Neurospora crassa OR74A: one gene and its partner. The protein of the gene in region 2 interacts with the protein of the main gene of each other region in a pairwise test. Links are inferred from orthologs where the notes say so. Each region holds a gene or a part of one and is shown on either strand. Other genes may lie near its edges.

What was found.
Region 1: the proteins of NCU11371 (region 2) and NCU06923 interact in a two-hybrid assay, tested with the Saccharomyces cerevisiae proteins (2 studies listed by BioGRID). The link is inferred for Neurospora crassa OR74A from reciprocal best matches to the Saccharomyces cerevisiae genes ZNG1 and MAP1.

The regions. Positions count from the first base shown.
Region 1 is NC_026507.1:776,426-780,589, forward strand, and holds NCU06923 (methionine aminopeptidase 1), read right to left. Parts: upstream 2,822-4,164; 5' UTR 2,442-2,821; coding exon 2,298-2,441; intron 2,168-2,297; coding exon 2,137-2,167; intron 2,075-2,136; coding exon 1,217-2,074; intron 1,148-1,216; coding exon 1,047-1,147; 3' UTR 556-1,046; downstream 1-555. Other genes in the region: NCU06924 (kynurenine 3-monooxygenase), read left to right, coding at 3,318-3,432, 3,529-3,746, 3,811-4,164. UniProt on the Saccharomyces cerevisiae protein: Cotranslationally removes the N-terminal methionine from nascent proteins. The N-terminal methionine is often cleaved when the second residue in the primary sequence is small and uncharged (Met-Ala-, Cys, Gly, Pro, Ser, Thr, or Val).
Region 2 is NC_026504.1:2,285,258-2,288,826, forward strand, and holds NCU11371 (COBW domain-containing protein 1), read left to right. Parts: upstream 1-1,205; 5' UTR 1,206-1,351; coding exon 1,352-1,451; intron 1,452-1,508; coding exon 1,509-1,592; intron 1,593-1,656; coding exon 1,657-1,668; intron 1,669-1,724; coding exon 1,725-1,821; intron 1,822-1,901; coding exon 1,902-2,406; intron 2,407-2,492; coding exon 2,493-2,837; 3' UTR 2,838-3,029; downstream 3,030-3,569. Other genes in the region: mob1-2 (Mob1 family protein), read right to left, coding at 1-325, 399-614. UniProt on the Saccharomyces cerevisiae protein: Zinc chaperone that directly transfers zinc cofactor to target metalloproteins, thereby activating them.

The DNA.
Region 1 (4,164 bases), on a different chromosome or scaffold from region 2:
CGGTGTCGGTGCTTGTACAAACTTGGAGGCTGGTTAAGTACCAAGTTAGATAGAGGTGGGATGATAAGACTTGGGGAAAAGCCGTCTTGTTGATCTTTGGATTTGGTGTTTTCTGGGAAAGAAAAAAAAAGGGCGGTCGCAAACTGGCGAAATCGGGCAGTGGTGGGAAGACTCACTCGGTTCTTGCGTGGAGACAGCTGGAGGTTCAGTTGGTAGGTCTGGAGGAGGAGGGTTGTTGGGGGCAAGGCAGATAGCTAGGTGGTGCTGGTGCTGGTGCTGGTGCCTCGGGGCTTCCTCGATGATGAAGGTGCCCCCCCCCTCCCCCCGGCCTCCTTCCACTCTTTTTCGCCGTGAACTGCCAGCCCGAGCCCACTTGCCAAGTCCGCCCCTGGAGCCTGTTGGGCGGCTAGGTTGGCCCAAGCTTCTTTCTGCAAAGCTCCACTATCCTGTAAGCCCAGCCCGGCCGAGGTGGGGCAAAGCGGCATAGAGACGATCCCCGGTCTCGGCCTCGCCGACTTGATGATCCGCTACATCACTTTTCAGAAGCATGATTCTCCCAAGTCCTCATGGCTCCAGTTGACTACCGAAGTGATGAGTATTAGCCTCAAATATGGTGAAACATTAGGCATTGTCTATACTCTATCCAAGCATTTACAATCTCAAACAGCTTTTGGGGAAGACAGAGAGAGATAGAGAGCTCCGGGCCCGGTTCTCCACAACCCGCCGAGTCTACCGCCGAGTCCGCCTTGAAGTGAGGATCCCAAATCCCGCTCCTCTCGATTAAGAATCTTCCAGAATATCCGTCCAGACACTTGTTCTTTGCGCGAACCTTATATATGTAACGTGCCTCTAGCTCTGCGATTGTGAGATCATTATGTTGATAGATCTGACCATGGCTTTGGGTTTCCCGTTTAAATGTCTCCGGGTATCAACTCAGGCATTGAACGCTACGGCACAAGTCTATACCACAACATTATCCCCTTTAAACGCCTTTTTTTTTTGTTCCAATAACGATGCACACCTTACTTTTTAGCGTCCGACCAAACTCAAGCAGCGGCGGTAGGCATGGGTACCGGGCCGCCAGGAGAGTCAGCCGTGCGCGCCGTCAAAATCTCAACACCGGTTTCGGTGACAAGGAGGGTGTGCTCTGTCAAGCAGGGTTAGTTGAACATTCCAGCACTCAGCCACCGCCTACTGAATCATGAACAGCACTTACCAAACTGAGCGGTCCTCTTGCCATCAATGGTGGTGGAGGTCCAGTTGTCGGGCCAGGTAACATCGCGGTACTTGCCCAGCGCAATCATGGGTTCGATAGTGAAGGTCATTCCAGGCTTGCACTCGCCGACGGCCCTGTTCTTAGCGTAGTGGGGGATGTTGGGCGGGCAGTGGAAGGTCTTGTTGATACCGTGGCCGACATAGGTGCGGATAACGCTGCAGCCGCGGCTCTTGGCGTGCGCCTCGATCACGTTGCCAAAGTCGCGGAACAGGGTGCCGGGCTTGACCAGCTTGATGGCCTCCTCCAAGCACTCGCGGGCCGTCTCAACGACGCGCACCGAGTCGGCGTCGGCCTTGGCCTTGTCGCCGACGTAGTATGTCTCGTTCAGATCGCCGTGGTAGCCCTCGTGGTAGAGGGTGACGTCGAGGTTGAGGATGTCGCCGTCGAGGAGGACGCGCTTGTCGGGGATGCCGTGGCAGATGACCTCGTTGAGCGATGTGCAGACCGACTTGGGGAAGAAGTTGTAGTTCAATGGCGAGGGGTACGAGTTGCGCTCAATGCAGGCCTCGTGTACGATCTTGTCGAGATCATCGGTGGTGATGCCGGGGCGGATGGCGGCAGCGGCGATGTCGAGAACCTCACGGGCGAGGCGGCACACCTTGCGCATGCCTTCGCGACCCTTCTCGTCTAGCTGCTCAATCTTGTTGGACCTTGTACGGCCGCCGCCGGGAATACCGCTCTCGGCATAGTCGGGATGGGGGATCGACTTGGGGACAACGCGCTTTGGCGAAAGAGGGTAGACGGGGCGGAGAGGGCCGGTGTAGCTGAAGGTAGGGAAAGGGTTGTAGGTTTCGGGGCCTGGAGCAGAATTTTAGAATATGCGCTCTGGCGAAGGAGGAGGGGGAAGCGGGTTGATTTACTGGCAAGCTTGTGAAGCTCCTTGTGGGTGTTCTATTGGGCACCCAAAGGGTCAGCTATCAAGGTTCGCATGCAAGTGCGAGTCTAAGTAAGGTACTACGGGATCTAGTCGAGGAAATCCATAGGTATGTGGGATGAGGGAACCAAAGAAGATGCGCCGTACCCAGTTTTTCTTGAAGCAGTCCTGGGAGCAGAAGAAGCTACCCTTGATACCCAGGCTCAAGCACTTGGGGCATTGGAGGGAACCGGCATCGTTTTCGCAATCAGCGCCGAGGCACTTCTTCTTCGCGGGGGGTTGTTCGGTCATGGTGGTGGTGCGCTCGAATTAGACTGTGGTGTCACTGTCTGTGGTTATCGAAAGGCTTTAAAGAGGGGCCGATAAGTTAGCTTGACGATCGCGGGTTGACAGCGAGGATGTCGAAAAGAGTTCGTTGTTCTTTGACGGCCAGATGCCGAGGGGAAGCAACAGCTGAGACAAGTTTGCGTAGAAGTTGGTCTAGAGGCACAGGGTCTAAAGAGCAAATAAAAGTAAGTACCTGGTGACCTTGTGTTGGGTATCCTAGTTGGGAGAATTCGTTGTTCTTGAAAGGGCGCGAGACAAAGTGAAGAAGCGACAACGAAACGGAAGGCGACAGGTCTGGATGCCGGGCCCTTGGCGTGGACGGACGAATAATATTTTTGGCGGCGCTGTCCGCTGCGCCCTTCCTCCCAAAAGTCGTCCCACGCGCATTCCATTTTCAGTGGCGGGCAGCGGCGGGCTGGGCGGCTCTGCCGGGGTCCGGGATGGGTGGAGCTCTTGTTGGATACTGTGGTTGGGAGCAAAAGTTTAACCCCCATGTCAGGTACCTTGCACGGACCACTACAGCGAAAGCGCCGTGAGCACTGTGTGTTCATCGACCTGACTAGGAGGTTTAACTTACCCATCTCACCATAGTAGACCCAGCAAGGGACCAGAATGCTTACCCAATCGATCCACCTTTCTAAGGACGCTAAACCGTTGATGGTGTTAGTGCACCAGCAAGGCGTCGGTAGAAGTGGATCGCCTCGCACGGACGAATATCGAACTGCATGTCTCGTGGGATCTTAGTGTGAATCGTCTGATGTAATCACCCAGATATTTGATTTCCACCTGTAACTTGTTCCGGCAAAGCTGGGAAATCCTCACAATCACTCAATTTCGAAAATGGAGGAGAGAAAGCAAAAGGTCGTCGTTGTCGGCGCTGGCCCGGTCGGGTCATTGGCTGCTCTTTATGCGGCCAACCGTGGTCACGATGTTGAGATTTATGAACTGCGCGGTGGTGAGTCTTGTCTTTTTTACGTTGTTGACTTTACAATACATCATGAGTCAAGATCCAAGATGTTCAAGATGTCACTGCTAACTAACAAACAATAAGACCTACGCGACCCCTCAACAACACCACTCAACTTTACCAGATCCATCAACTTGGCCCTCTCAGAACGCGGCCTCAATGCTATGCGCCATGCCAACCAGCCAAGACTCATCGATTATGTCAAAGGGGTGACCATCCCCATGAGAGGCCGCATGATCCACGGCAAGCGACCAGATGGAAAGCTGTATGAGGAGGCTCAAGACTACGACATCCATGGACGGGTAAGACCCCTCCCCTCGACCCCTTTGCCTTTCTACAGAGCAGGTGTGTTGATGAATAGATCAGAGCATTCTCGCCATCGACCGTGGCGACCTGAACAAGCGCCTCCTCGACATGCTCGAAGAGATGCCCAACGTCACCTTCTTCTTCAACCACAAGCTCACCGGCGCCGATTTCAAGCGGAACAAGGCCTGGTTCGAAAACAAAGACGAGAGCACCTCCAACCCACGAGACCGAGCCCGCGAAATCGAGGTCGACTTCGACTTTATGATTGGTGCCGATGGCGCCCACTCCGCGGTCCGCTACCACCTGATGAAGTTCTCCCGCATGGACTACCAGCAAGAATACATCGACACACTCTGGTGCGAGTTCCAGATCGCCCCATCGTCATCATCAGCCAAGTCCAAGTTCAGGATATCC
Region 2 (3,569 bases):
CAAGAGTGTGACAGCAATAGTCGATCGCGCAGCAGCTCTTGGGTGCATCATGCACGGCACATAAAAACTGCCACTCGCTTGCACGCATCTCGGGGCAGGTGGCAGCGCTGCAGGGCGGCTCATCGAACAGGAAACCAACAATAAGGTTGTTGCATTGTGTGATCAAAAAGCGGCACAGCTCATACAGCCATACCGTCTTGTCGATATGAGCAGGGGGCGTTGCGAGAATCTTGGCTGTCTCCCTTGTGATGGGAGTTGTGTTACCGGCCGTATGGTGCCAATGGAGGGCTGCTAAGTGCTCCTGGAGTTGGAAGGCCGAATCAAGCTGCGCGTCGCAAGACAGAACATGTCAGCCTTGTTCTTGAAGAGATCAATGACTTTTCAGGCAGCGAACGAACCTGGTGCAGAGGAACCAACGGAGGGCCGGCGGCCATGTCGGCGGCCTTGGTGCCCGGATGGATGCGACGATGAGACAGCAGGTCTATCGTAGGCATCTCGTATTGCTGCGCCTGGCGGTTGGCGATCGGGCCCATGGCTGGCGATGTGGGACCAATCTGGATCTCGGGGGCAGGCGGCGGGCTTGGGAGTCGAGGAGAGCTCGGGGGAAGCGACATGATGGTGCTTCGTTATTTGGTCGCGATGTTGGATATGGGTGAAGTTGATACGCGAAGCTGGACAGCTACAACCGCGCGCAAGCAATGCCCAGCTGTGTCTATCGTAACGATTCCCTTGTTTGTACTATTCGCCCGCAAGTTCGGCTCGACTTCCTAGGTAGCGGTATGAATGGTAGATGATTCTGCTCGGATCGATATGCCGGTGGAACAGATGAATCGAGACGGGCTGGGTTGCGTGGATGAAAGGAAGTTGGATGAGGTCGTGGAGGTAGATTGACAGTCTAGACGAACGGGATCTGGGGTCCACGGCGGTGCCGTCAATGGGATTCCTTGGGAAACTGCCCCTGCTGCCCCTGTGCTGAGCTGGAGCTTCGAGCCTACAGGCACGCCAGTGGAAGGCGGGAATACGGGGAACTCACCCTGTACCTGGCGCTAAGATCAAGGAGGTGCCCAAGCTCCCAATTGCTCCTCGTGCTGTCTGACTGTAAAATACGGTATCTGTAACAGATGTGCGTCATGCCTCTGGTAACCGAAAGGGCGTGGGCCAACAATCGCATCGGTTCTCCCCGGCAGCCTGACAAACATTACATAGTGTACTGCGTAGGTAGAGGTATAAATACGTACCACTGGTCCCTGCGAGAAACCTATGGGTAAGGTGATTCAAACACTACACTTCTCGACAACGTTTTGTGTAATTCCACGACCAAGAACCTCCGCTCAGAGGACCTCAATTCAATATGGACTACGACGACGATGCTCCCCCGGATCTCATAGAGACCAACGAGATCATACTCGAGGAGGAGAAGCCAGTCAAGGTTCCCATTACCATAGTAACAGGTATGCATTTTACTACCAATCTCATTGTGGTCGACTTCGCGCTGATTATAACCTCAGGCTACCTTGGAGCGGGCAAGACCACGCTCTTGAACTATATATTGACTGCCCAGCATGGAAAGAAAATTGCCGTCATCATGAACGGTATGGCTGAACATCCCGGGCCTCGCCTTGCATTGGGATAGTTAGCTGACGATGAGTTGTGTAGAGTTCGGAGACTGTTTGTCATCCTCTTGCTGCAACCCCTCAGCATATCTCTGCTGACGCTCAATCTAGCTCTGGACATTGAAAAGTCCCTCACCGTAAACAAGGATGGCGAGTCAGTCGAGGAATGGATGGAAGTTGGCAATGGCTGCATCTGCTGTTCGGTGAAGTGAGTTACCGATGATTGAGCACTTTGTCCCCATCAGCTCTAGTGCACTGACACTGACCAACAACATATGATCGTCTCAGAGACACCGGAGTGAATGCCATCGAGTCCCTAATGGAAAAGAAAGGAAAGTTCGACTACATCTTGCTCGAAACCACCGGGCTCGCAGACCCAGGGAATCTTGCACCCCTCTTCTGGATGGATGATGGCTTGGGAAGCACCATCTACCTCGACGGCATTGTGACGTTGGTGGACGCCAAAAACATTCTGCGGAGCTTGGATGATCCAGCTGGCAAGGTTGAGGGACACGAAGAGACCGATGAACACGGGCATGGGCCAGTCATGACGACCGCTCATGTCCAGATTTCACATGCTGATGTCATCGTAATCAACAAGTCAGACCTGGTCAGCGAGGACGAGCTGCAGGCCGTCCAGGACAGAATCACGTCCATCAACGGGCTCGCCAAAATCCACATAACCAAACAGAGTGTGGTTCCAGAATTGGAAGGATTCTTGCTCGACCTGCACGCTTATGACCGCGTGGAGGAATTGGACAAGCCAAGTCTGGGCCACAGCCATCTCGACAAGGTCAGAGACTCCCTTTCATCTCTCGTGAATGGCTAGCAGGACCTGGACATTTCTTGATTTCATATGACCAACTAACCTGAGTTTAGACGATATCAACATTATCTATTCCTCTACCGGTCCTGACATCAGCACAAGTCGAAAAACTGGATGCTTGGCTGAGGTCAATTCTTTGGGAGAACATTCTTCCTGGACACGAGAACGCTACTGACAGGCCAGCTTTCGAAATTCATCGATTGAAGGGTCGGTTGGTGCTCGAGGACGGCAGCGAGAAGATGGTTCAGGGAGTAAGGGAAATCTTTGAAATTTTTGATAGCCCAGACAAGAGTCAGGGTCAAGTTGCGGGTAAACTTGTGCTCATCGGGCGTCATCTAGTCGATTTCGACTTCCCAACAAGCCTCCAGAAAACTGTTGATCTTGCCAAAAGCACCTAGCCGTCAGGCACCATATTATAGATGTAGGAAATCAGAACGGAATCCTGACGAACATTGCCTCATACGTGTCAGACCGGTAATGGAAGTCTTGATACTGTTTATACGCTGTGACTTAGGAAGCAGTGTGCATCCTGCTCTTGATGCTGACCGTGGAGAGAAGTTCCTTTGGAGGGTCTTCGAATGTTTGAGAATAGGGGGACGTCGATGGCCTGGAAGCACGGACCACATATCCTCAAGTTTCCGTCACCTGCACCTTGATCTTGAAGTCTCCAAATCCATGAAAGAGGGCTTTCAGTCCGCCGGATCAGCGGTCCTTGATCGGTATTGTCTTTCCAGCCTTTAGGTTTCCGTAGTTGTCAACGGTCAACCCGGGCCTGCCAGTGTGCATACCATAACGAAGTGACCTACCTGTAGTAACACCAAACTGGTATGTACCTAGAGGTACCTAGGTACACTGCAGCGTCTCCACATCCCGTCCCAGATGGAGGTACTGGTTATAAGGACCACTCACTGCACCTGCGCAGCCAGTGCGTGCCGCCCGCCTGGCGTGCAGCTCCCGCTCGTTTCCAAAGCGCGACCGGGCATTCACCTGCAAACATCCATTCACTCTGGCAGCGCACCACGACACCACCGCTACCACTCGTCACCTTTTAATCGACGGCACAACTTGCTAATTGCGACAACCGGAAAACAACATTCGTTTTTCCTTCCTTTTGCTCGACCTCTCAGAGA